Notamacropus eugenii: one gene and its partners. The protein of the gene in region 2 interacts with the protein of the main gene of each other region in a biochemical or structural test. Links are inferred from orthologs where the notes say so. Each region holds a gene or a part of one and is shown on either strand. Other genes may lie near its edges.

The links.
Region 1: the proteins of SNTA1 (region 2) and SCN5A interact in a test that uses a peptide from one of them, tested with the Homo sapiens proteins (2 studies listed by BioGRID and IntAct). The link is inferred for Notamacropus eugenii from reciprocal best matches to the Homo sapiens genes SNTA1 and SCN5A.
Region 3: the proteins of SNTA1 (region 2) and HTR2C interact in a test that uses a peptide from one of them, tested with the Homo sapiens proteins (2 studies listed by BioGRID and IntAct). The link is inferred for Notamacropus eugenii from reciprocal best matches to the Homo sapiens genes SNTA1 and HTR2C.
Region 4: the proteins of SNTA1 (region 2) and KCNJ4 interact in a test that uses a peptide from one of them, tested with the Homo sapiens proteins (2 studies listed by BioGRID and IntAct). The link is inferred for Notamacropus eugenii from reciprocal best matches to the Homo sapiens genes SNTA1 and KCNJ4.

What each region holds. Positions count from the first base shown.
Region 1 is NC_092874.1:473,245,227-473,252,059, forward strand, and holds the start of SCN5A (sodium channel protein type 5 subunit alpha), read right to left. Parts: upstream 3,022-6,833; 5' UTR 2,877-3,021; intron 1,625-2,876; exon of another isoform or gene 1-1,624. UniProt on the Homo sapiens protein: Pore-forming subunit of Nav1.5, a voltage-gated sodium (Nav) channel that directly mediates the depolarizing phase of action potentials in excitable membranes.
Region 2 is NC_092872.1:417,512,328-417,519,440, reverse strand, and holds the start of SNTA1 (alpha-1-syntrophin), read left to right. Parts: upstream 1-4,092; 5' UTR 4,093-4,356; coding exon 4,357-4,693; intron 4,694-7,003; coding exon 7,004-7,113. UniProt on the Homo sapiens protein: Adapter protein that binds to and probably organizes the subcellular localization of a variety of membrane proteins. May link various receptors to the actin cytoskeleton and the extracellular matrix via the dystrophin glycoprotein complex.
Region 3 is NC_092879.1:95,876,123-95,883,280, forward strand, and holds the start of HTR2C (5-hydroxytryptamine receptor 2C), read right to left. Parts: upstream 3,022-7,158; coding exon 2,984-3,021; intron 1-2,983. UniProt on the Homo sapiens protein: G-protein coupled receptor for 5-hydroxytryptamine (serotonin).
Region 4 is NC_092874.1:295,848,182-295,855,578, forward strand, and holds KCNJ4 (inward rectifier potassium channel 4), read right to left. Parts: upstream 2,809-7,397; 5' UTR 2,733-2,808; coding exon 1,410-2,732; 3' UTR 513-1,409; downstream 1-512. UniProt on the Homo sapiens protein: Inward rectifier potassium channels are characterized by a greater tendency to allow potassium to flow into the cell rather than out of it.

The DNA of each region.
Region 1 (6,833 bases), on a different chromosome or scaffold from region 2:
GAATGTATTTCAATAGCTGCCTTCTGGAGAGGAAGACAAACAAAGGAATGACATGCTAAGGGCAGAGATTTAAGCACTTTGGCGGACTGGTGGTGAGAGAGCAGGGCTTTCTTAGCATTTCTTGGTATCAGTGCTGGTATTTATTGCTTTGAGACAGCTATTCCTTTTGCCTAGATACAGGACTGGCCCTGGACAGCCACTTAAAGGTCCTGTTCTTCAGCTGAGATTACAATAACAATAATCTGCATATTTTGTGGGTTCCTTGATTGGGCAGTCTAAATTCAGAGACCACTGAGCTTATCTAGTCTATGCAAAAAGGGGAAACTGAGGCCCAGAGAGGTGAGTAGCAAAGAGAGAACCCGAGCTCAGTCATTGTGCCTCTCAGTTTTTTATAAACCTGTTGCCTCAGAGAGTTACTGGTTTCCCTTGCACTGTTTTATCTTTTAATATATGTTAACAGAGGACAGAGAGCTGGACATTGAGTCAGGAAGACCTGAATTCAAATCCTACCTCAGGCACTTAACTGTGTGACCTGGACAAAGTCACTTAACCTTCCTCAGCCTCAATTTCCTCATCTGTAAAATTGTGACATTAATGGCAGCTACATGATAAGGTTGTTGTGGGGCTCAAATGAGAAATATATATATATAGCATTTCACACATCATAAATGAATTAAAAGAATATTATTCTTGTCTAAAAACAGTTTTAAGCTAGGCTGCTTATAAGGATGGCTAAGTAGACAGCCTTATTCAGAGGTACTGCGCAAGGGGTGAACGATCCATGGAGCTGTTTCTCAATTCTGTTTTCAGATTTTATATTAATGCATTTATTAAGTTCTTTCTGTGTGCAAGTATGTGCTTCGCTGGGGAGATTATTGTATTTCCTTGGGCCCCAGCGTCTTTATCTGTAAAGTGGGTGGATTGGACTGGGAGACCTACGAGGTCCCTTCCCTTTCTGGGGTCGGAAACCTATGATCTGGGGAAAGCCTGGGATAAGCCGATTTGGAGTTACCAAAGTCCTTCCCCAAGAAATTCCAAGGCGGGCCAGGGCCCTCTTCTTTACCTCCTGCCAGGGGTAAACTCGGAGGTGAGACTAGCCCAGAAGGGTCCTGCTCGTAGTCCAGTGGCGAACAAGTGCCCACTCTCATGGAGTCATTGCCTGGAGAAGCCGCCTTCGGCTTCCCGGCTGGTCAAAGCGCACAGTCCAGGCGAGGCCGGCAGGTCTGACAATCTTAAACTGCCGGGCGAGGCAGCCGGGTTTCCGTGCACCTCTTTCTCCCGAGCCTCTCGGCGGGTCCCCAGAGAGGTTTCAGTCCAAAGCCTCAGAGAAAAAAGCACGTGGGCAAGGGGATGCCTTAGGGCACGGGAGGGAGCCTGGGTCTGGGGACCCAGTTCGAGGCTGCCTATCCGGCCCCGACACCTCCAGCAGTCCTGTCCAGTTAATAGGGTCGGGCAAGCAGCCTCTCGCCGCAATTTTCCACGCAGGGACTCCTTCCCAGAACATATAGTGGGGGGAGGGGGAGATGGGGGGTCGGGGAGAAATCTCCCCTCTCAGCCCCTTTTTTCAGTCTCCCGTCCCTGTCCCAAGCTAATCCACTGGTCTCGGGACACCATGGTCCTCCAGAGACATGCAGAAACATCCCCACCGACGGCGAGATGCCTGCCCCCCCTCCATACCTCCATTAACAGAAAGAACACAAAGCTCAGATCCTTCTCTAACCCCCGCCCGCTCCAGTATAGGTAACAGAAATCTCTTCCAGTCCGAGTACTATGTACACAACCAAAGGGCTTTGCACACAGTAGGTGCACAACGAAAAGCCGTTTGAAAGGTATCCAAAGGAAGCTACATCTCTTTCCCTTCGAAGACATTATCGAGATTTCCCCCTTTCAACCTCCCCCTTACACACACACACACACACACACACACACACACACACACACACACACACACACACACACAACCACACACAACCACATCAGAGAAAACAGTAATCGGATAGAAAGCGGGGAAGACAATTGCCCCCAAAGATGAGGGGACCTCTTCCCCCCATTCCAAGCCTCTCTTGGTTGTCAGCTAATGTCCTCCCACTCCAGTCCAACCTGAGTCCCTGGGAGCCCCCCTCCCCCAGCCGTTCCCTCTACCCCCCAGCCAAGACTGTTCTGACCTTGGGGGTTGTTCCGTTCTACAAACCTCTCTCGGACCCCAGAAGAAAAATAAAGCCCAGAATGGCCGGGACGGGGGGTCTCGAAAATTCTAAGCAGAGCTTCTACTCCCCTTTCTTCCACTGCCCCCCGACATTGCCACAGTGACGGAAGGAAGCTTCCACCAGGGGACTGGGACCGAGGGTGGGGGGGAAGAAGAGGACACTAACGCCTGGAGACGTTTCCTGAGCACCGGGAAGGTTGGGGCGGGCGAGGGGTGGAAAGGAGGAATCCCCCAAGCTCTGGTTTGCTGCGTCCCTGTTTTCCCGATGGGGGGGAAGTCCAGGATAAGGGGGTCATGGGAACGCAGAGGGAGCCTCCGGGGGAGGGGATTCTCTCAGGGAAATCTCTGCGGGGGGGGGGGGAGCTGGGGAGCCCTGGAGGGGTGCGAGGGGAGGAGGGGCTGGCTGCAGGGGCTCAGGGCTCCCTCTGTCCCAGCGGGGCAGCCCGTAGTAGTAGCAGCGACAGCAGGAGCAGTCCTGGGGCCGCGAAAAAGGGCAGCATCGCCAGCTCCCGGGCAAAGAGAAAGCCGCTGTCGCCCGACCCGGGGGAAGAAAGTTGGGCGCCCCTGGGTCGGCCAGGGGCTCAGGACTGCCACTGACCCCGGCCTCTGCCCCAGGCCCGCCCGCGTGGGGCTGCTGTTATAGCAACAGCCCCAAGCTCTCGCTCCTTACCTGCTCACTCGCTGGCTCGCCCTTCGCCCGCCGCCTCCTGTTTGCTCCTGCTCCTGCTCCGGCTCTGGCTGGCACGGCTCCTTCCCAAGCCGCCCGGCTCCGCGCTCACTGGCTCGCTCACTCGTTTCCCGGCTGCCCGCTGCTGCCGGGCCGCTCCCGGGGAGGCGCGGGCAGGAGGGCTTGCGGGCGGGCTGCCTGCCTCCGGAGGCGGGGCGGGGCGGGGCGGGGCGGGGCAGGGGCAGGGTCCGGCCTCGCCCGCGGCACCGGGCGCTCACTCGCTCCGTTGCGCTGCAGCCGCCTTCGTTGCATTGGGCTCCGGCTGCCCAATTGGTGGCGCTTAGCTGCCTTCTGCGCCGGGCTGCGCGCTGCGCGGGGCTGCGCGCTGGGGCTGTACGGGATTGGGCTGTCGAGGCTGGGCTGCGCGGGTCAGGCTGAGCCGAGCTGGGCAGTGCGGGATGGGAACGAGCGGGACTGGGCTGCGCTCTCCTCCCCGCTCTGTTGCCCCTGCTCTGTACTCCGGCTCGGCCTTACTCGGGGGAGGACGGGCGGGTCCCGGGGTGGGGTGCGCCTCTGCTACTCCCTGACCCACTCCTGCTGTGGACCGGCTGGGAACGTCCCCTACTGGGACGCGCTGCTTTAAGGAGGGCTCAACCACGGGACGGCCCGAAGGCTAAAGCTCAGCGCTCCCAGCATTTCACCTCCACCAGTACACTCGCATGCACACCCGTCAGTGTCCTCACAAGCACATATGGACCCAGACGCTAATACATACATGAGAGATCACACACACATGCTCGCGGCTCACTAACATATCCAAGAATATACAGACATAAAGAACTTCGGCTTTCGAATCAGAGGCTCCAGGCTCTATTCGACACTTTGGAGCTTTGTGACCTCGACAATTCTCCAGATCTATCTGGGCCCCAGTTCCCTCACTTCTACAATGAAGAGGAGGAGCTGTGGGTAGAGGGCAAGGCCACGTTCCACCTCTGACACAAACTAGCTGAGTGCTCTGGACCATCACTTAATCTCTTGGCCCTAACCTTTCCGTTGTTTTGTTGTTGAGTAGGTTCCGATTCTTTGTGACCCCATTGGGGGTAGTCTTGATAGATACTGAAGTGGTTTGCCATATGATTCTCCAGCTCATTTTATGGATGAGGGAACTGAGACAGGGTTAAGTGACTTGCCCAAGGTCATACAGCTAGTAAGTGTCTGAGGCCAAGTTTGATCTCGGAAAGAGGAATATTCCTGATTCCAAACCCAGTGCTGGGCCACCTGCTGCCTGTCTTTCTGAGCCTCATAAGTTACCTAAGGCATCACAGAGCGAGTTGCAATACCAGGCGTTTGAAACCCCCAAGAAATGCCCCAAGATGACCTAGCAAATGTAGGGATTGGCTTAGACAGATGTCTTTAAAGGATTTCCATTCTAGCTCGAAATCTGTGATTCCATGATATAAACAAATAAAACAAATATAAACAAACAAAGCACACACACACACACGCACACACACACGAGAAGGATCTTTAAAGTCATATGACAAAACAAAACACAACAGACCAGAACTTAGTCTTGCCTTCAAACATTCCTTCCCCCTTCCTCCACCAGGGCATATATGTATCTAGTCTTTGGAAAAGGCTGATGATAGTCATAAACCTAGAACTATAAGGTCCTCAGAGGTCATGGGGTCCAAACATTTCCTTTCACAGATGTGAACACTTGAATCTCAGAGAGGCTGTGATTAGTTCAGGGTCACATGGCTAGTAAGTGACAACAGGTAGGATTTCAACTTATGTCTTCCTCCAATGCCAGCACTTTGACCACTAAACCCATAGGTCTTTATAGTCTTGCACAAATTCTCAATATCTATCTTGAAGGGTAGGTTTAAATGTTAGAAATAGCCCAAAGTTATTGAGTCCAAATTTGGTGAGTCAGGAGGTGGTCAAAAGTATACAAGGACACTCTGAAAGTCTCTCTGAAAAACTTTAGAATTGATTGTGAAACATGGAAGACACTGACACAGGACCACCAAGCATGTCATGCCCACATGACAGAAGGCATTGTGCTCTATGAGTGAAACAGAATTGCAGTAGCTCAAAAGAAATGTTAGATGTACAAATTTAGAGCCATCTCCACTCCAACTGTTCATGTGAAGTATTTGTGCCCAGCCCATGTAGAGCATTCTGATATCACATTGGTCTGATCAGCCAGAGTTGGACACAATACCTTGACTCTGACAGGTCATTTTGGCCCACTTCAAGATCAAAGAGCAACAACCAATCGACCAGCCATCAGGAAGTGGTCATAGAATCGTTTGTCTAGGTCAAGTCAGAAGTGGGCCTGACCATAGAGTAATGAGGATCTCTTGCTCATTCCTTCTTGGTGCAGGTGACTGGGAATCAGTGATGTGTCTTCCAAAGGGAGCACTCTGAAGGAGATGCTCCGTAGGATGAACCCAGTTCATTTTTGGTTAACTGGTCATCATATCTAACCTAACTATGTATAGAGATGCTGATCTCTCAGTTATCCAGCTGTCTGGCCCTACTTTCTTGGTTTCTTCCTCTGGTTCCTCTTCCTCCTCTAACTGTGAATCCTTCCCCTCCCCATGCCCCAAGGCCCTGTCCTAGAAATACTTTCCTTTTCACATTCTACCCTAATGACCTGGCAAAGCTGGACTGGAAGTAAGAAGGGAGTAGGAAGACCTGAATTCAACTCCCTCTGTCACTGTCTAGCCAATTGATCCTAGACAAGACACTTTAACTTCTCTACCTCAGTTTCTTCATGTATAAAAAGGGACTGGAAGGCTACTGAGGTCTTTTCCAGATCTAACTAAGGGATCCTATGACCATCCATGCTTCAATAACTATCTATTAGGATGATTCTCAAATCTTCACCTCTTCAGCCCCAAGCTAAATTCTGGCCCTAGATCTCCAGCTATCTGCTGGGCATCCCTACCTGAATGATCTACCAGCATTTCAAACTCTATATAACCCAATCTGAACAAGTCTTCTTTCCCTTGAAATCTTTCCTCCTTTGGATTTCCCTGTTTCTATGGATAGCCCTACCATTTTCCCAGTCCCCTGGGCTTGAAACCTGGAGGTATCTTTAAGGCTTTCCCCTCTTTTGCCCTCTATAACCAAACAACTGTCAATCCTTGTTCTGCTTTCAAGACAGCTCTCCCAGCTTTCCCCAGCTCTCCACTCAAATGACAACCATGAGACTACTTCTTAAAATAATTCCTTGAACTGATACCCCTTCCTCCAGTCTTCCCTTCTGCAACCCATCCTTCTCACAACTACCAAAGTAATATAGACAAAAAATTCAGTGATTCCCCATAGCTTAGGGAAGAAATTACAATATTCTTATCTTGGCATTCAAGGCCCTCCATGATCTGAATCCAACCCACTCTTCCATGCGTATTTCTCCCTGATCTCCTTCACATACTGGAACCACTACCAACAGACACATAAGCACCCAAACACCTATTTCCTTGATTTTTCTTGTTCATTTACTTTCTTTTTTTCTAGAAGATGAGTTGGTTTTCCCCTCTGTCCTCTCCAAGATTTCCTGGAGACCAAATAGAACCAAATTCATGAAAGCAGCCTCTTTACATCCCCTCCAGAAGAAGAGGGAAGGCATGGTCCTTGTCCTGGCACCTGAGTCTAGGCTGATACTGGACAGATGGCTGTGGGTGAACAGGGTGGGGATATGGCTATTCTAAGATGAGATCGAGGAAGGTGGTAAGGAGGAGACACTAGGCTGTAAAGAACGAGTAGGAATTAAGTATGGCACTGGGGTAAGAAGGCATATAGGTGTGTTTGGGAGAGTAGTCAGAACTAACTTCAAGGTTGTGAATGAACATGGAAGTCAGGGGGAATGGCAGTACCATGGACAGAAATAGTGAAGGAAGAGGACTAGATTTAGGGGGAAAGATAAGCTCAGCTTCTGAACCTGTTGAG
Region 2 (7,113 bases):
CATGACAGCTGGCACCATGAGCACGCCAACCCTTTTCCTTGACTCAAATCAGGTTTTGTTGACTTACAGTGGTCGAAGTGCTGAGGTACCGTCTCTCAGAACCATGTCACCAGACCAGTCTCTGAATTTGGGGTCTATCTGCTAGAATGGGAGAGGCTGGTATCCCCCCACAGGCTTGCAAAAAGTGTTGGACCCCTTTTATGTGGCCTGAAAGCCCTACCCTAGAGTCCTCCCAAAAAAGTATTGACATGGTCTCCAGAAGGTCCCCCTTTCAACATACGTGTGAGTTGCGACAAGGAGGGAGGGTGTTTTCTAGCTATCTCCACGTTCTCTCCATATCAGTCCAGTTGCTCAAGTGTTTCTCCATTTGGGCTTGGACAGACCTTGCCTGAGCTGCCTCAGAGATCAATGTCCACCTGTCACAGTAGCATCTGAATTCCATCTGAAACCGAGCCAGCTTTTTAAAATGAATGCTAAAGACCCTTCCAGGGTCAGGGAACTCACCCAGGAGAATTTAGACATAGCCAGGAATAATTATAAAACAGATTAGAAGGCAATAAACTCTATGATCCCAAGTGTATAAAAGTATTAAATGCTATGAGACTGGGTGAGGAAGAAATGACTTTTAACCAGGGGCATCAAGGGATGCTTCAGGGAGAAGGGTAGGAATTCAACAGGTGGAGAGGGAGGAGGATGAGCAAAGACAAAGAGACAGGAAAGGATGAGACACTACAAAGCAGGGTGAATCATGTAGTATAGAATGAATGGAGGCCAATGGGAAATGAGGCTGACAAGTACAGAGGTGGCTGATTGAGTGCAACGATAAGGGTCTTGGGCTGTATTCAGTGAGCAATGGGGTACACACTCCATGGTTTTGAACAGAGAAACAATGTGATTACAGCTGTACATAAGGACAGAAAGGCTAGGATTAAAAAAAAGCCTGAGAGAGCTAGACAGGACTTTGGGGATCATAGATCCACAACCCACAGTTCACCTCATCCAACCTCATTTTACAGATGAGGCAATTGAGGTCTAGAGAAGTCAAATTACTTCCCCAAAGTCTCTTGGGTAGTTTCTTTGGTTGTGGGTTTCAACCCAGGTCCTCTGTCTCTAGGATCAATGTGCTTTTTGGTGTACCATGTTGCCTAAGCAGTGGAGAAAAATGGACTTGGCTTCAGAAGATCCCAGTTCAAATCCTAACTCTGCTCTTGACTATCTGCCTGCTGAGATATTCTGTTAGATAGATAAAGCATTCATTAAGCCATATTGTGGGTCAGGCTTTGTTCCCCTCTGCTTGCCACTTGCCCATAAGGATCTTATATTCTAATAGCCGAAGATCACACATAAAGAGAGATCACATTCTTGGGACCATGACATGGGCAGCCTAGGAAATGGAGGGGAGGCCCTATTCACCTGCAAGATAAAGGCAAAAACACAAGGACTTGGGGGAGAATCTGGAATCCACAAGATTACTGGTGGGGAGAAAGAGGAGGTGATGGTCCCAGGAGAGGCTGCATGGATCCATCTATCATCCATTCATGGATGGATCTGGGGATGTACATTATTTCTTATGTATATTCCAAAAAGGACATGTATATCCCCTTAGCACAGCACTTGGCACATAGTGAGGACTCCAAAAATGCTTGTTGACTGATAGATTTGGGGCAAGTCACAATTTCCTTGAGCCTCAGTTTCCTTATATGTAAAAGAAGGAAGTTAGACTAAATGATATCTCTGAGGGCTCTTCTAGCTTTACATTCTTTTTCATTTATTCATTCAATAAACAGTTATTAAGTGTCTACTATGTAAAAACACTAGAATTAAGAGAGGTTGGGGAAGACTTTCTGTAGATTTTAGTTAAAACTTAAAAGTTAGGGAGGTCAGTAGTCAGAGTGGAGCAGTTAGAGCATTCCAAGTAGGGGGGACAACCAGAGACCTAAAGTTTTGTTTGTGGTACAGCCAGGAGGCCAGTATCACTGGACCAAAGAGTACATGGCAGGATTCAAGGTATGAGAAGGCTAGAAAATTAGGAGGGAACTATGGGTTATAAAGGACTTTGAATGTCAAACACAGCATTTTTCATTTGATCCTGGAGGCAACAGGGAGCCAATGGAGTTTACTGAGTAGGGGGATAACATGATCAGACCTTCACTTTAGGAAAATCACTTTAATGGTTAAGTGGAAGATGGATTGGAGGGGGAAGAGACTTGAGGACCGCAGACTAACCAACAGGCTACAGCAATAGTCTAGACAGGAAGTAATGAGGGCCTGTGCTAGGGTGATGGCAGTGGAGAGAAGGGGGCTTATTAGATGTTGCAAAGGTAAAATCAACAGGTCTTGGCCACAGCTTGGATATGGGAGGGGGGAGGAAGGGCAAGACAGTGAGGAATCCAGGATGACTCCCAGGCTGTGAGCCTGAGGGCCTGGGAGGATGGTGTTGCCCTTTACAGTCATATGGAAGGTAAGAGGGGGAGAAGGTTTAGAGCGAAAAATAAGGAGCTTTGTTTTGTTGGACATATTGACTATAAGATGTCTACTGAACATCCAGTTTGAGATGTCTGAAAGACAGCTGGATATCTATGATCCTAAATTTCCTGAGGCTATCTACTTCAGCCCAGGACACCAGGATAGAAAAGAGAAGAGAATAAGGGCAGAAGCTCTTGGTGGAGAGGATGGTGGTCCTGTGTCGAAATCTTTTTAGCAGGAGTTAGTTTAGCCTTTGGCTGGGAAAGTTATTGCCCCTGACGGCAGGGAGAAAGGCTAAAAAACCCAAAGGCCTAGGTGGGAAATAGTAAAAACAGAAGGTGCCAGGGAGGCTCTCCACTTAAGACAGAGGACCAGCCACCCTTCTCCCAATAAGGATTGTCAAGGCTGTTGATGCCACATAAAGCTCTGACCAGTGACTTAATCAGATCACCTCCATCTGCTCAGTGATTTTGTCACAGCCTGACACATCCACTCCGAATGCTGCCTTCATGATCTTAGGTGAGTCACTTAACCCGTGTGTTTCAGTTTCCTTATTGGTAAAATGAAGGGGGTGGATTAGATGACCTCTCTAAGGTACCTTCCAACTCAAAGTCTATGAATCTATCTTTCTTTGAAGCCCCATGGTCCAGGGCAGAGGAGTTAAACACATGTTGGAGACAGACAATACACTCTTGAATGGCTGGAAGCAGATTAAAGTGTAACTGGGTAAAATGTAACAGAAATATTAAAATGAAATAAAATAAAGATATATTGCATTTTAAAACTAAGTCAATAAATCCCTGGGGGGGGGGGGTTCCTTATGTAAGGATTAATGGATCCTATTTCTGTGAGTTTGATAGGTCTAAAGGAGTGAGGGGCTGGTCAGATCAGCCAACTCTTGGGTTAACTCTTTACTTGCTGGATCTAACTTTAGGGTAGACTGAGCCCCCTCTTGAAATCACAGTCAAACATCTAGGCCACCAACCTCCCTCTAGCGGGACCAGCACATGACTGATGAAGGTCAAGGTGGAAAGAGCAGTGAATTTGGAACCAAGAAAGGGAGGACAGAGAATCTGGGCATGGAGTAAAGTCTGGGAAAAGACACAGAGAGGCCAGATGGAATGTTGATATATCCTCTAGTTAGGTAATAGCAAGTAGGCCAGTTTGGCTGAAAATGCTCTATTTTCTGGGTGGGAGAGTGGGAGGGAGTGAAGAATAACCCATGAAAGATAGGTTGGAGTCAGGTTGTGAAGGGCTTTAGAGGCCAAAGAGAGGAATTTCTATTTTCTCCTAGAGGCCATAGGGAGGCAGCCAAACTCGAGCATGGAATAGCCAGGGCCATGGTCAAGCCTGGCCTTCCATCCATCAGCCTGTTCAGCCGTTAACTCTGTGACCTTGGCCAAGATCATCTCCCTCTCTGGTCTTGTCTGTTGATTTGTAAAATTAGGGAGCACGCTGGGAAAAGGGTCTTCCGAAGGGGGTGGTCTTCGTTTTGCCCACCTTTCTCTGAGAGTGGAGGTCAGTCTCCTTTTCCATCTTTCCTTGGGGCATCCAAGCGCTTCCTCCAGCACCTACACTTAGCTCGTGCAGAGGAACGCCAGGAGAACCCGCCCCGTCCAGTCCTGGAATTTGGAACGGAGATCCCGCGGAAGGGCGAGAAAAGGGTGACCGGTATCCCTTCCTCTCCCGGCCGAGGGGCGGGAGGCGGGGTGGCAGTTGGGCCCGGTGCCCGGTGCCCCCGCTCTTGGGCTCCCCCGCGGTGCCCCCGGGCCGCCGGCGGGGCGGGGAGGAAGGGTAGAAAAGGGGCGGGGAGGGGCGGGGAGGGGGCCGGAGCGCTCGCCGGCCGCTGGCTCTCTAGCTCCCGGGCTCTCCAGCTCCCTGGCTCTGAAGATGGCGGCGGGTAGGCGCTCCCCGAAGAGCGGGCTACTGGAGCTGCGGGCTCCGGGCAGCGCGGGGCCCGGGCCCTGGCTACGGGTCTTGGTCAGCCTGGCAGCCGATGTGGTGACGGTGAGCGCCGCGCCGGCTAGCGGAGAGCCTGAGCCGGGGCCGGGCTCCGGCTCGGAGCCTGCGTCCGCGTCCTTGCCCCAGCTCAACGGCTCGGACTCCGGGGCGCCCGCAGCCCCCAGAGCGCCCCCAACGCCTCCACTGCCCCACGCGCTGCTCAACCAGAAGCGAACCGTGCGTGTGGTGAAGCAGGAGGCGGGCGGACTGGGCATCAGCATCAAAGGTAGCGGCCCCAGGGGCACGGGCTGGGGGACACGGCGGGAGCACAGGGGCGGCAGCGGGACGTGGGGAGGGCAGCCGAGCCGGGCTGAAGGTGAAGAAGCCCAGCATGGCAGAGCGACAGAGACAGGAGGGGTGAGGGGCGCTCTGCGTCCTGGCGCCGTGCCGGGCACTGCCCTGTCTGTCGGATTGACTGCCTGTCTGGCTTTCGGGGTCCCAGCGTTTGCGGGAGGGTGACCGCGGTGGGAGCCGATCAGACCCTTGAAGATCACGACCTGGCCACATGGAGACAAACGCAAGTTCTTACCCAGTTTCTCGCTCTGCAAACTTCACGGGACAGCGGGGCCTGGCAGGCTGAGCTGGTGGGCAGGGCCTCCGCGAGGAGAGCAGCCCAGTCTGGGGACTGGCTGGGAGCCTGGCTCCAATGGTAGCCTCATTGCTTCCTAGTCCGAGTCTCCGGGAGCTCCACGGAACCCTCACAGGGTAGTGCCTGTCCACTGTGGTCTAAACTCTCCAGTCCAGCCTGTTGGCCCTGGCTGGAAGTGAGGCAGGACTCCCTCTGCCCTCTGCTGTGCCAGTTCCCCGAGCCTGTTACATAGCACTCCTCGACCCTCCCACCTTTGTCCTCACAGTGATGCTCTGCTCCTGGTAGGTTTTAAAGCTTACAAAGTAGGTTCTCCACCATTTTACATGTAAAGAAACCCCAGAGAAGCTAAGGACTAGGAAGTATCAGAGGCAGAATTGGAACCCAGGGCTCCCAGCTCGAAGACCAGAACTGCTGCCGTCTCCATCTGCCTTGTCCTTCAGCTTTCCATAAAATTAAGGTCTGGCTTCCAGGCCATTATAAAGGTGGGGGAATCTTAGTCCATGATCCCTCCCACTTCAGTCCTGGTTTCTTCATCTCCGCTAATCTTCCCCTTCCCTTATTTTTCCCCCTTTCATGTCTTTCTCTTATTTATTTCTCTTTTCTCTAGTCTCTCTTTTCCCTGACTTCTCTCTCCTAATTTCTCTCTCCCCTAAGAGCTATGTGGATGCTTATGGGTCTGGATAGGGTAACAATTCTCAGAGGGCTGAAGGTCCCTTTGTCCTGGGTCCCAGAGCCATATTAGGACATTTCTGGTCACAGATGGTTTTTGTAGCAGAGAACAGACAAAATATCCCCAGACATCAGCAGGAAGAGCCATTAGAGGTAGAGTTAGAATATTGGGGGGGAAGGGGAAGAATCACCTCTTCCAGACTGATATGTGAATGGCAGGATTGAATGCTATCGTAGTCTTAGGATAGAATTTCCCATCAGACAGCATGCAGCAAGTACCGTCCACTGACCCCTTTATCATTTTGTAGAGAGTGAAAAGAGGGGAGATGAATTATCTTAGGTCACACAGGAAATTAACAGCAGTCGAAGAGACTCGTACCAAGGTCTTCCAGTCCTCAGCCCACAGCTCTTTATGAGTACCCCATAATCCTCCTCTGCCTTTGCTCATTGCTTGTGCCTCCCTCCTCCTTTTCCATGGAGTTGGCAAAGGTGGACAGCTAGGTCTCCATTGAGAACAGAGCCCTGCCCTTTCCAAGTGGGAAAGACACACTATCTATAGTTCTCTCTTGGATTTGAGGATGAGTTCTTGTCACCTCAAGGGAAGTCATTTCTCCTGAACCTGGTTTGGAAGTTTGGCTATTGAGGGTTCATGACAGTCTCAGCTAATGCTGTGTTTAGAGTTCTACTAACTTTTTGCTTTGGAGAACAGCTCATGAACTTGGAGCTATCCCTTCAGGTCTGGTATTCTTCTTGGAGGTAGGGTCCAAAGGCCATAAAACCTCTTAGCTAAGGCCACTTCCTCTCCCCCCCTAACCACACATACACAGCCTTTCTGCTAAATAAGTTTTTTGAGTCTAATGTACTCTCTGGGGTTGTGCTAAATCCCCTCCTCTTCCTAGGCCACAACCTGTCCCTCCATAAAATGGGGAGAGAACTGTTAAAACAGAATGAGTCTTGGACCTGGGAGTCAGGAGACCTGGGTTCTAGTTCCAGTTCTACCACTGACTTACTGTGTGACCTTGGGTGGGTCACTCCCCCTCTCCAGCCTCAGCTTCCCCTGTGTAAAAGGAGAGGCTTGGACGAATGACCTCTGAAGTCTCTTCCAGTTCTAATGGTCTCTGGTTCCATTTTTAGGGTCCTCCTGCCTTTTCCTATACTTTTCATAATGCTAGTAGGTACTTATTTAATACCTGTCACCCCAATTCCCTGGCATTGATGCCTGTTTCCTTATCTCCTGCGTGTGCCTACATATATACCTGTCTGTGTGTGCATCCTCAGGTGGCCGAGAGAACAAGATGCCCATTCTCATCTCCAAGATCTTCAAAGGGCTGGCAGCTGACCAGACAGAGGCTCTGTTTGTGGGCGATGCCATCCTGTCAGTGAATGGT
Region 3 (7,158 bases), on a different chromosome or scaffold from region 2:
CAGCCCCTAACTGTCTTGCCAAAGATCACAGAAGCAGCAACTCAAGGAAGAAGGAGAGGAGTCATTGGACCTCCCCAGGTACCAACTTCTTTCCCTCTCAGCTAAGGGAGATGACGTCTGAGGTACCTTCCAGCACTATAACCGCAGTCCTCTTTGGGCAGTTAGGTTTGATCTGGCTTATTCCACCCATCGTACCAAAGGTGAGCAGAGCACCCAGGGTATGAGACATCGGTGAGCAGAATCTGCCCAGCCCAGGCATTTTAGCACCGCATTTGCAGAGGGACAATGTAGGGTCTACCTAGACCCTACAGAGAAGGCAGCTACACCATCCTCACCAAGTAAGCTTTGGGTCCTGGTTCCTTGCATGGTGAAACAGGCAGGCCATCTTCCCTTCTGAAAGTAGCAGACAGGGAATGCTTTCCTGAGATACTCTCTGAGCACCACTTTCAGGACCCTAGTGACATGACCCCCCCCCCCCCCCAGGGAATCCTTTTCCACACCCTCAACCTCCATCTCTGATCTCTTACCTATACTCTCTCAGGTTTGAATCACCACTGTGTCTTGTTCCTTCTCATTATACCAATGGAAACACCAACAGAAATGCTTCACGATCACAGAAGGCTGGAGGGAGGATACCCAGTGGGAAGGGATCCTGGTTGTTTCTGCCACAGTTCTCCAAGTCTGGAGCTTTGGCCAAAGTCAAGTCCTTCTGAGACCAGAGCTTGGACTCTCTTTTGCCCTTCTCCTGGCCTTACTCTAACCCACCCTCAAAGAGTCGCGTTAAATATCCACCCCCATGGCCTTGCCTTTCCCCTTTGGACAAAGGGCCAAGAGTTTCTGCATAACTGCTATGCTTTTAATGAAAAGGGGATTAAAGGCTTTCAAAGAGTTACCTAGACCCAGTTCTCCTTGGGAGGGAGGAACAGACCGCCCAGGAGCCTCAGGTCAGGGTGTCAGGCTCACCATCTTTAGCTAGGTCTGCTGGCTTGTGTCTCCTACCGAATAACACTACTCCCCCACCTCTGTCCCATGCTCAGACATCACATGATCTGTCCAAAGGATGGATGAGTCTCAGGATTGGGCTCCCAAGCCTGGATGCTGAGCATCCTCCTGCCATTTTCGATTTTGCTCTGGGAAAGAGCAGTTTGAGCCTCCTGGTAGCAGCCTGATACCAAATGTAAGACCCAGGGGAGATGCTTCTGGCCCACCAGGAGCCTTGCAGGGATAAAGAAACTGACATCACATCTCCCCTCGGACCTGGTCTTGCCTCTGATCTAAGTTAAATGATAGAGGAAACAAAGGATGCTGTGAAAAATAGACAGCTTTGTATGACAAGTTAGTTGGGGAAAGGATCATGGGACCCAAACCTAGGAAAGAAACAGATGGGATCCAAGGACTGGGCTCATCCCTACTCAAAGCTGTGTCTAAGTTCATGATGCAGCATAACCTGGTCTCATTACGGAGAGGGTCTTTGGAGATGCGCTAGGATGAATTTGGTAGCTTGGCATTAGGATTTGCTTTCCTTCAGAGTGCCTCTGAGACCCTGAAAGGAGCCCATGGGATCCCATGCTGGGGCCACATTCCCTTTTGAGATAGACCTGGCATGCTTATGATTCTACCCACATGTACAGAGACAGATATACTGAGCTACTGGGCTCAGAAGTGAGAAGTATGGACACAAATGCCTCTCCTTTCAGTGTATCTTAAAGGGGGTCCTGGATGGCATCCTTGTCATCACTATAAGTCACAGATTGGTACTATGGGTGGAATACTCCACATCAAACCAAAGGCTTTCCATGTTGGGCACTAGGAGAAGAGAGGTCATTCCCGGAGTGTGGCTACATTCCCCAAACTACTGAGGCAACTCTGTTTCGCAGGCCACGAGGGCCTGTTGGAGATTTGTTCTGACATGTTGTAGCACAAATCATTTGTGAGTAAGTCTATTCATGATTATATGAGCTTTGTGCAAAAACTCGTTCCTTTCCAATTGCAGGTGAACATCTGTCCAAGATTTGTATGAGACTTTCAGTGCAGAATGACATTGCTTTTGCTGAATGAATGAGTACCCCACCCCATGTCAGGTGTTTTCCATGGTGACCTCAGTTAATGAATCAGCCCCATAAGGAGGATAATGTATTGTATCCATCTCAAATTCTTTCCTTCAATCACCCCAAGAGACAAGGAAAAACCCTTTTCACATGTAGCTTATTTCTAAGTCATGATTTTCCCCATTGTGATCCTAGGATGTGACAAACATGGTGGGCACAGAGGAGGTTATAATCACGCATTTACTCTTACACACAATCTGGAAAGGGAGAAAAGACCAAAAGGAGGTTCATGCCCACAGAGCAAACATCTTTAAGTAGTCCCACACCACGCTTTTCCCTCTGGGTCAGTGATATTGGACTTTCCCATTCACTTTGTGCTTGGTGAGGCCTATGAAGACCACGGAAAGGAGTTGACAGGTGTCTCTCAGGTAAGCTGATGTCATCTGATTCTTACTACCTACCCCAGTAGGGGGATGGAAAAAAGAAAAGGGTCATCACCACCCTTTTTGGGTGCCATTCTTATCCTCTTGTTGGCCGTGAAAGATGAGAGAGTGCTATGCTAACCTTGGCTACTACATCATTCATTCCCTCCCCCTACCTCAGTTTCCTCAATAGATGGCCTTGTGGAGTCAGACTGGATCCTGAAAGACATCTAGTCTGAGACTGGACTATTTTATCTTTTCTCTTCCCTCTCCTATGAATGGACAAAACAGACCACCAGTGAAAGGAAACCTATAACCTCTACAAAGAGCCTATTTCATTGTTTGATTTCAGGATTTCAAAAATTAAGGAAAAGGTTGATTGGCTGATATTTTTGCAAGGATCAATTTCTCTCTAGCAGCAGATAGTGCTTACTAGGAGGGTTCAGTTTGCTCCAAAGGTCTTTTCTGCACTGCGAGGAAGCAAGCCTCAGGCTACCTCTTGGCTGTTCTTACCTGGAGAGTGCCCTAAGTCTGGGTATTAGAAGACTCATGGTTGCACAGTGTTTCCACTCGGGCACCTAGGGAACATTATCAGTTGGCCGTTCAGTTGAGAATCCTGGTCTTCCTTGGAGGGGAAGAAAAAACCTTCCATGAGAAATTCCTGAAATTCCTCTCTCATCACTCCAAACCAAGGTTAGAACAAATAAACCCCACATTTTTCCAACTCTGTTGAGAGAACATGAAAGGGCCACTGGGCCCCTTCAGAAAAATAACTGAGCTCTCTCTCCAAAATTTCCAGGATCAATGATACTGCGAAGTAAAGACGCGGCTTGGCCACAGGGTCATGTTTTTACTGAATCTCCTTCATTGTACCTCCTTGGCTGGGGATTTCTTCGAAAGGGGCCAGATGCCTGTTATTTATCCAAGGCTTCTCAGAAACTCTTCCCTTTGCTTTGGGGGTGGGAAGCTCATGAGTTTCTGATCTCATGAACCTGGGGCAGGAGGCCCATAGGTCTGAAAGATACCAGAAATCCTCAGAGTAGAGATGAACACCCCTCCCCAATCTCTAGGCACATTTGAAAAGCTGATCGTTCCTGAACTGATGAATGACTCATCTCCACACAATGCTTTTACATGTCTCTAGCTCAGTTGCTTCTCACAGGCCCTAGCAGGACCTTGATAAACAACTCACTACTCATGGAGAGGACTGGAAGTCAGGAAAAGCCGCTCCTGGGTTTGGGGAAGAAGCTTACCTCACAGGAAGTTGCGCTCAAGCAAGTCTGCTGATGTCTGAAGCTGGAAGACAAGTAGGAGGTGAGTTAAGATGCAATTTGGAGCTGGGCAGCAGACCTCCAAGGAGGACTACCAATTGGCATACATAGATCCCAGGTAGCATTTGAAACACCTACAGCTGAAAGCAAACCAAAGGAGATTACGACTGCCAGAAATGCCTCCCACTAGGAATCACACTGAATGATTAGACTAGTTCTGTGAGTAGGCTATGGTGGAGATGTGCCCAGTGTAGGCCAGGCAGATGGGGTGTTATGTTTTAGTGAATCAACAATCATCTCCTCCTTTTTCTGGTCCCACAGTCTGTTCTCTAGAGAAATATCATTAACAAGGGTCAAGCGAGTGGGGAGAGGGGAGAGGAGGGCATTAATCTCTGCTTGCCTGGGTTCAAAATCGTCCAATTAGTATTTGAGCTGTCTGTCATCAGTGAGCCCTGGAGAATCCCAGAGAAGGGGCTTACATTGGGTGAGGCCAAATTAATTATACATTTCCACGATGCTTCCTTTTCCCCAGGCAGGAGTGACCCAGACTCAGAGTAGGAGCCCTGGCAGGTTTCCAGGCAGGAAGAAGTGCCAGCAGTGAGCTGATGCTGAGGATGTCAATTTGCCAAGAGTCTAGTCAGCAAGAGAGCCCCCTTTTCTATCTAGAAAAGCCCTCTGCCTGAGGCAATAAGAGCCTCTGAGGGAGAAGATAAAATCACCCCAAGTTGTAATGACCAGACCTGGTCCTCCTCCCCTCTCTTGCTTCCAGGATCCATAAGGGGCAGGTGGAGAACCTGGGAGCCCTCCCCACACACATTCTTCTAGGAGATCTGAGAATGCAAGTACCCATACTGTAGGTCTGGAAGGCTTATACTTACCTGTATTTCCTTGTGAAGAAGAAAAATTCTACTCAGGATTGGTTGAGGTGGCTAGTCATTGTAAAGTGACAGGGATGTTGTTTTACCATTGCTGTATCATTTAAAGAATATGGGTTTGTCATAAAAAGGTGGAGCCCTCAACGAGTCCATGAACAGAATGGAAAAGGCCAGAGAAATTACAGTCATACAAGTGTAGACTTGGAATGTCCATACCCCGCATAGGCAGATCCACATCCACATGTGCATATGGTAAAGTCATGCACTAGAACCCTCGGAAGATGGGTTCCACACCTGACTGAAATCCTAGGAAATACTCAATGAATGTCAGTCTTTCAATTGCCCCTTATTCCATAGAAAAACTGAGGTTGGGGGCCTTATCCACAGGGCTCGCTGGCCAATATTCCAAATTGGATGAAGTTGTAATTCTCATTGGGAAATCTGATGGAACCTGCCCTTCATCTGGGATTCTTATCTCCCTTGCCCAAATCCTAATGACTCTACTGGATCAGGATCTACTGGCAAAGCCCTGTGTCATTGTTCCATGGCTCAGTGACCTACTACTGGGTCCTTACCCATAGCCTTTTCACCTTTGGGGGCTCTGATGCCCATAGGCTGTTTATGGACATGTCACTTGGCAAAGGAGGAATATTCTTGAATTAAAACAAAGCCAGGGGCCTTTTTTCCCTCATGGTTTGACATCATTGAAGAGCTGTACTTGCCCAGAGGACAATGTCTCAGAAAGACCTCACCCAGAAGAAAGTCTAAATCCTTGTGAAATGACATGTTTAGCAAAGACATGTCCAATACTGCAACATCGGTGGTAGCACATGAGGCATACCAGGAACTCTGATGATCGCCAGGGAGATATATGAAGGGAAGCCTCATCTTGAAAGGGGCTTTTTGGCAAAAAAGAATCATCCTTAGGGCTGAATCTCTTGCTTCCTAGCTCTGGCAGTAAAGGTGTGTGTAATATCTCTGTGAGTGAAAGCTGATGGGAGGGGAGAGACTCTAGCAAAAGGACTTTGGTGGAAGTCAGAGGTGGCCAATCTCAGGTTTTGAGGGGACTCTGTTCCAGCAAGGGCTGCAAGACAGACTTCTTGCAGCACCTGCTTTGATACACATTAATGTCTCGGATTTCCTACCGGGCAGGTTTAAACAGCTGTTTGTTTTGTCTTCCATCCATCCCGTGGCTGAAGCATACTGTGTCTCAGGGTTTGTTTGCCTACTTAGTAGAACAGCAGGAGAAAAGGGAAAACAATGAAGGCAAGGCAAAGCAGAAGACAGAACCCAAGCAAAAATGACAAGAAAGCAGAATTAGAGCAGCACGATTCACAGAAGACAGCTTATTTTAGCAACATGGTGACTCAAGCAATGTGGCAGCTGACAAAGGCCGTTTCCATCTAATGAGTAAGTCGAGTCACAGGTTGCACCCCAGCTCCTGTGCCAAAACAAATTTGCAAAGCATAAGCATGCTGTGGGAGGCCAACTTCAAAAACGATTGACTTAGCTCTGGGGACCTTCCACGGCAGCTGGGAGCAAGCCGACTTGACTGCCTGCAGCTGGGACCCATTCCTTTCCCGCTCTCCACAGCCTGGAGGACTCTGGAGGAACCAGGGACTGAAAAGCTCTGGGCACAGAGGAGGCGGCCAGGGCTTGGGAGGTTGTAAAGCATCCTGACCCCCTAGCAGAATCTGCAGGGTTAGTGTGAAATTCGGAGATGCCTGGTCCTGCCTCAGTGTCCTAAGGCTCGGTCCTGATGAGATGGGGGCAGGGAAGGGCAGAGGAGCAATGACTTTCCTTCACCTGACCTCACCTGCTTGAGGAGAAGCTGACAGATGACCAGGCAACTTTTTATCTTGTCTTTTATGGAGCATGTGAACCCTTTGTACACCTCTCACCCTACATCCCATCCCTCAGCCCTCTGGACAGAAGAGGCCAAGGCTTAGACAAGGTAGCTCAATCCCCAAGACTGCCTCAGCAGGGTGACTCCTCTGCAGGGACACTTGGGATTGCTGAGTCCATGAGAGCCCGGGGAACCGAGCCCAGGTCAGCATGGAGAGAGGTCCCCTCCCTGAATCAATGCAAAAAGACCACTTTCTTGAAAGTGACTGGTTTAAGATGTTGCCTCAGTCCCTGAGGGGTGGGCACACAGCTAGTGTGGAGGAAGTTATACTTGACTTCTGAGTCCCCTTTCTCCGAATCCCTTGGCGCCCCCCCCCCCCCCCCCCGGCCTCAGTGAAGGAGAATACAGAGCATGTTTGGAATGACAGGAATCTCTACTTTGTCGCTTGCTACCTTTCAGCTCTGGGAGCCCCTCATCCTCTGTAAATGAGAGGATGTTCAGAGTTCTTTCCAGCTCGATCCACTTAGGGCCATTTTTTTCCTCCAGGATTTGAACTCATCCCTACCCTGACTGACACGATACCAATTGTGTTCCTAAAATAATATCCCTTCAAAATTTGGGATGGGCCGTGGAGAACACTCCCAGAAATGAGCAAATACTCATTGCTACAAGTGGACCTTACAGAGGCCTTTACTT
Region 4 (7,397 bases), on a different chromosome or scaffold from region 2:
GATAGGATCTCCTGCCCTGGGTTCAGTAATCATCTCTCTCAAATCTACACACCACACCCTCATCTCCTTCCCAAGCTTGGGTCCATTTTTCCAGCTCCAGCAAAGCCTCTACACCTCAACCCAAACTGAACATCTGCAAACAGAACTCATCAGCTCCCCCACTTAACCCCAACTCCCTCCCCCTTCGTTGTGCCTGCCCAAGTAAGGGTTGGAAAAGATGGTCTCCAAGGTTGCTTCCATTCTTCAATTCCAAGAAACTGAGACCCCAAACCGGGAAACAGCATATAAGGTCTTCATAGTTAATAAACAGCCCCAGGATTCAAACCTAGATTTTCTCCCTCTGTCTGCAGTGTCTCTCCCACAAGCCCTGCTTCTTCTACACTGAAAGGATTACTGCTACTACATCCTACTGAGTCCTCCTGCCCCTGCCTTCTTCCTCCTCCCTCCCTCCAATTCCCAACAACCAAGACCCTAGGAAGATGGTAGACATGCCTCTCATACTCTAGGTCTCTTTCTCCCCCTCCTTTTGGCCCATGTGGCTCCAAGAGGATTGGATACTTTATTAAAAATAATTAAAAATCCCATTGTACAGTTGTGTGTGTTCAAAGGGTGGGGGAAGATGGGCAGAAGCTGGGGTGGGTGGTCAGGGGACCAGCAGAGGTTGGGCTAGCACATGAAGGGAGCCCTGACCCTGGGGGCTTCTTGGGTTGACATCCCTCATTCTGAGACAGTTCAAGGACCAAGGAGCTGTAAGAGCCAGTACATGAGGGAGAGGAAGAGGGGCCGGGCTTCATCTCCACATCCTGCCCCGGGAAATTGAAGAATCTGGGTTGGATCTCTCTTGTCTTTATATATATGTATATATTTACAAAAGGATGTGTGACAGGTCACAAACATGCAAGGTAAACCCTTTCTTCTACTTCCCCCAACCAGCTTTCCAGCCCTAGCCTCCGTGTGAGCCCCACACCCTCCACATCTGTCCAAGGAACCCCCCTGAAGTTCTCCAGGGCAGCTGGGGGCATGTCCTGGAAGGGCCTAGGGGTGCCATCTTGGGCAATTCTGGATCTGCAGGTAGAGTCAGGCCCACAGCAGTAGATGTTGTGGGATGGTTGGCATGGCAGAACTCACGGATAGGGGCCTCCCTGTTGCCAGGGTCTAGTTTTTGGGCACTACTCATACACTCATTTCTCATGGTCCCATGGGGCCACCAGAAGGGTTCCCATGGCCTGGCTGGGTTCTGTCCTTGGGAGGGGGAAGTGTTTGTCCCAGGGATATTGAGGGAGGGGATGTTCATGGTCTGCTGGTCCTTCTCCTGCCTAGAAAGGGGGATTTTCCCACATTGGACATGGGGTTAGGGAATGGGAGCCCAAGATGACAAAGGGGATATGGGTAGACGAAAGGGCAGGAGGTCAGATGGCTGACTCCCGACGGTAGGAGATGTTGTCAAGGGGCAAGGTAGACTGCATCCTCTCCAAATCCAGGTGGCTCCCAAACTCCAACATGCGAATGATGCCACCATCTTCCTTAGAGCCGCCCTCCAGCCCCAAGCCAGCCACATCCTCCTCCAGTTCATCCTCCTCCTGGCTCATGAGTGCCAGCTCATTCTCATAGCAGAAGGCACTGGGTGGTGGCGGTGGGGCAGGAAGGACCGTGATCTTGCTTTCCTGGAGCTCACGGGCTGAGCAACACGGCGTGCCAGCCACCTCGTAGGTCTTATGGAAACGCGAATAGTCCACCTTGTAGTGGCTCTTCTCCTCAAAGACCACAGGCTCAAAGCGGTGGCCCCAGAGTATCTCACTGGCCAGGTAGGAGCTGCGGGCCTGGGTGGTCATGGCTGTGGCTTCCACCATGCCCTCCAGGATGACCACAATCTCAAAGTCCTCCGACTCTAGCTCTTCTTTGCCCATGCCGTACAGGGGGCTCTCCTCATCAATCTCATGAACAATGATGATGGGGGACACCAGGAAGATGCGGTCCAGCCCAATGTCGTAGCCCACATTGAGGTCCCGCTGGTCCAGGGGCAGGTACTCACCCTCCTCCGTCATGTACGGCTTGATGAGCTGGGCCCGAACATGGGCCTCCACGATATGACTCTTCCGTAGGTTGCCCACCCGCCACATGAGGCACAGTTTGCCGTCCCTCACAGAGATGACAGCGTGGTGGCTGAAGAGCAGTGTCTGGGCCCGCTTCTTGGGCCGGGCCATCTTGGCCATAATGGTGCCGATCATGAAAGAGTCAATGACGCAGCCCACAATGGACTGCACCACCACAGCCATGACGGCCAACGGGCACTCCTCTGTCACACAGCGAAAGCCGTAGCCGATGGTGGTCTGAGTCTCCACCGAGAAGAGAAAGGCTCCCAGGAAGCCATTCACATGCATGATGCAAGGCTTCACGGCAGCCTGCGGCGGGCTCCCGCCTCCTCCGGGACCTGCTCCAGCAGGGCCAGACGCTGGGGCCGGACTGGGGTCCAGGTCACCGTGGAAGAAGGCGATGCACCAGAAGAGGAGGCCAAAGAAGAGCCACGAGACCAGGAAAGCGGCGGAGAAAATCATGAGCATGTACCGCCAGCGCGTGTCCACGCAGGTGGTGAAGATGTCGGCCATGTAGCGCTGGGACTTGTTACTGAGGTTGGCGAAGTAAACGTTACACTGGCCATTCTTCTTGACAAAGCGGTTGCGGCGCTTCCGCCGGGGGGCATGAGCCTGCCCGTTCCGGCTGTGTCCGTTCATCCCGCCCCTGGCAGAGATCCAGTGGCTGTCCTCACCACCTGGGATGGCGCCGGACCTGGAGAAGAGACACGGTGGCCAGACGTTAGGGGAGCGGATAAACGAGGGTTAGCCAATGAAACCAGAAACCGTAATCATCTGCTCCAAGTGGAGGGAACAGTCAGCCTCAGAGCCAAGAAGGTGGGTTCAAGTCCAGCCTGGAATAAATAGATCTCGCCTGGGTGACCTTGAGCAAGTCACGTAACCTCTCAATGCTCTAAGAAGTCCTACAATAACAATCCCAACTAACTGTGATAAGCGATTTGACAAATATTATCTCATTTGATCCTCACAACCTTCCTGGGAGGTTGATATTATTATCCCCATTTTACAGGTGAGGAAAGTGAAGCAAATAGGGTTAAGTGACTTGCTTGGTGTCACACAGTAGGTTTGTGAGGCTGGATTTGAACTCAGGCTCTATCCACTGCTCTGCCAGATTGCCTCTATTCAGACTCTACGCTGTGGGGTGGGTGACAGGGGCATTGGTGAAGGGTGCTTCCTCACTGGAAGTACTCTAGGTGAATGAAAGCACAGGCTGGTTCCCAAAATAAGTCACCTCCTGAGTGGCATTCAGTGGGACATGGACTCCTGCTGGGGATGGGGTGCTTTTGTATTTGTGTCCCCAGGGGTCAGCAAGTCCGTGCCTGGCACATAACAGTAGGCACTTACTAAATGCTTGCTGAAGGGCAGCAAATGGAATAATGATAAAATGATAGTGATGATATAAATCCCCTGCCTGTGTAGAATGCTGTGGTATTTGGGAAGAACTTGTATGTGCATTATCTCACTGGGTAAAAATAGCTCCTGTTTCTCTAGGGATTTGATGTTTCCAAATTGCTTTCTGAAGCAAAGCCCTGTGAGGTGTGTCAGCAGCACAACAGCTATCATCCCCATTTCACAGATGAGGAAATGGAGGCTCTGAGGGGGAAGGGGCATGTGGGGTGGAAGGAAGCCCTGGACTTGGAGTTGGAGGTCTAGGTTTGGAGTCCTTCCCATCTCTGTGACTCAGGACACAAACCTCCTCTCTAAGTCTGTGTTTCCTGCCTCTCGGATGCCAGGAAGTTGGATAGGATGGTCCCTAATGGTGAATTCAATTTTCTCCCACATGGCTGGTTATTGTCTGTGCCCACAAGAGAACCCAGGTGCCTTTACTTATTCCAAGGCCAATATGCTTTCTCCGCTACATTCAGTCTCTGGACTGGAGGCCAGGCAGGGCTGAGATTTGGCTCAGGGAGGCCAGGACAGGGCTGACAGAACCTCACAGAGACAGATTTCAGGTCAATATGAAGATCATTCCTAAGATGAGAGCTATTCCAAAGGGAAGCAGGTGACAGGGAGCTCTCTGTTAAATGGGAAGTGTAAGAATAGGTTAAAGAAGTAATGGTTAGTTAGAGATGTCAGGCAAAGGCTTCATGCTACTGGTATAGGGGGAAGAGATGACATCCCTCTGACGTCCCTCAGGACTCCGAGACCCCTGCTCCACAAATGAGCAAACAAGCTCAGCAATGAGAAATCATTGTGGGTGTAACAATGGTGATAACGGGGATGGTGACAGACAGGAGACATGGAGGTCATGGTGACAATGACAAAGGTGGTGAAAATGGTGATGGTGACAGAGACAGAAAACATGGTGGTCATGGTGGCAAAGGCAAAGATGGTGATCGTGGTCATAGGGACAATGGGGATGATGTTGCTAGTGATAATGACAGTGATGACCAAGAGGATAATGGTCATGGTGATGGCGACAGTGATGACTGTAACCATGGTGACAGTGATGACCATGGTGATGATGATGGTGGTGGTGGGTAGGGGCCGCTGAGGTGCTGGTGTCCATAAGGGTCATGGAGAAGTAACTTGGCTACAGCCTGGGGTACAGACAGTCAGCCCCTTCCCCCGAGACTGCCCTTTGTCCCCCTCACTCCCCCATCCATCTGAGAAAGAGGAGATAGCCAAAGCACCGCTCCATCCCCCTGCCTTGCCTGGTGCCAACCAAGTCTCTGCCACCAGCAGGGCCAGGGTGGGCAGGGAGGAGGAGGCCAAGAGACGGCTCTTGGTAACATTTTGGCCCAGAATTATGGAAGGCTGGGAGTTTCTATTTTCTGTTCTATTCTTTTTGTTGATCTAATTGTGTATCTGTAGCAGTGTTTATACACTTCCCCGGTTCGGGACAACTCAGTTGCCACAGCAACAGTGCGGCTGCTGCCGGGGTCCAGGCTGAAGAGGCAGCGCTGTAATTTAGAGATCAACAGCTCAAGTGGTGCCAGCTTCCCTGGGAGAAACTCTCCCCACCGTCTCTCCACCCAACCCCCCTTCCCTTGGCCTCTCCTGGCTCTGGGTGCCTGTGTCCTCATCACCTACCCCTAGCTACAACAACAGAGGAACATGACCGTCACTGCTCTATGCCAGCCAGTGCCCTCACTACCTAAACCCCACCACCACCATCACCCTGGTGCAGGAGCCATTAGCCCTGGGGACATAGATGTTGGGGTGGGGAAACAGTGATAGGGAGGGAAGGGTGTGGGCTCAACCCTCAGAACTGTCTGGGGAGCTGAGGAGGGTTGTTACTCGAAGGTTCCTGCTGTATGCTTTGACAAAACAGGCGTAACAGACCATTATTCCAAAGTCACTAGGAAGGTTACCCTACTCCCTCCTGAAAATGTTCCCCTCTCTACTGTCACTGTGCCTGAAATTCCACCATTAGAGCCACAGAGTGGACGAGCTGGAAAAGGACACAGACACAGAGATGCACAGAAAGGGAGAAATGGAAGGTTTAGTGGAGGACCTCTAATTCCAATGTTTTATTTACAGAGATAAAAACTGAGGTCCACAGAGGGGAGATGACTTAGCAAAAGCCCCAGAGGAAGTTAGCCAACAGAGCTGGGACTGAAGGTCAGGTCTCCTGGATCGTAGCCCTGATTTTTCTCTATAATACAGTATATAAGGGATCAATTCACTTGGATTCTGAGGGTTCGGGGGTGGGAGGGATGCTTCCAAAGTCCTGCAGAAAGCACTTTCTTCTGGGAAAGGGGGAAACCACCTGCTTGTATTAACTGGCACCTCAACTGGAATTAGCTGGCAACCAGGCTAGTGTAAGGTTAGGAAGGGGAAAAAGAGAACAGGTGGAAAGATAGGAGAAATCTCCCAATTTTGGATCACTTCGGGGGAGCAGGTCAGGGTAGGGAATGACACTGACTTGAAGACTAAAAGACCCTCCTCAATGGCTGTTTGTATCTACCTCCCAACACCAGGAGTTGTCCTGGAAGACAGCCTCAGCCCAGGAGAGGAGATTCTCCCAAGCAATGAGGCACTCACCTTCCCTCCCTCCTCCAAATGTTCTTCAGCTCCATCTCTAAGTGAGAAACTGGGGCTGGTGGACTCTAAGATGGTCATTCCCAGCTCCGACAGTCTATGTTTGCAGATCAATTCAGCATGCATTGAATACTTGCCATTTCCCAGGCACTGTAATGGTGTTGATGATCATGATAAAGCATTTATATGATGCTTTAAGGTTTATAAAGCATTTTACAAATATTATCTCATTTGATCCTCATAACAAGCCTGAGAGGCAGGTGTTATCATTGTTCCCATTTTACAAATGAGGAAACTGAGGCTGAGAGAAGTTATATGACTAGCCCAAAGTCACACAGCTAGTAAGTGTCTGAAGCAGAATTAGAACTCAGGTCTTCCTGGCTCTAAGCCCAGAGCTCTACCCAACTAGCTGTACCACCTAGCTACTAGGGGCCAGAAATAGAAATAGATCATCCATTAATAGGCATTTATTAAGTGCCTCATACTGAGTGAAGTGCTGGAGTTACAGAGACAAAGCACACACACACACAGAACAGTCTGTGCCTTCAAATATCTTACATCCTCTCAGGGGGTAGTATCCAAATTTTTTTGTTTTATTGAAATATAAAATAATTTCTGGGAGCAGGGTTAGACAGTGACTAGGTAGATCGGAATGGACTTCATGAAGGAGGCAGCTGGGAACTGAGCTTGGAAGGAAATGAGGAAGCTCCTTGGGACAGGGGGGAGAAGGAAACTGCATCCAGACCTGAGAAAGAGCCAAGCTCTGCAAAGGCATGGAGAGAAAAGAAGGTAAATCCCCCATGGGGGCCAGCAAGCAGGCCCATTTGGGCCAATGAAAATCCCAAGAAGGGAGCACAGTACGATAAACTTGCCGAGGTAGTGCCAAAGCCAGATTGCAAACGGTTTAAAAGTCAACCAGAGGAGCAGGCAACAGGAAGCTATTGGAGTTCTCTGAGCAGTAAAGGGACATAGGCAGATTCACTTGGGAAAATCACATTGGCCGCTATTCAGAGCAGGCACTGGGGAGGGGAGAGACTGAAGACAGAAAGAGCAATTGGGAGGTTAATGAAGTACTGCAGGAGAGAAGGAAGGAGGGTCTGAGCTAGGAGGGTGATGGGAGAAGTGGAGAGAAGGACAGTTGATTGACAAGATTCAACAACTGATCAGCCTGATGCTGAGCTTGGGAATGTGGGTGTCCAGGAGGGTGGTGGCACCTTCAGCAGACCTAGGGGAGCCAGGCTGAAGGGGAGTTTGGGAGGGAAAAGGAATGAGTTCCCTTCTAAATATGGCAGGTGTGAGAGTCATCTCCATGCCCAAGGC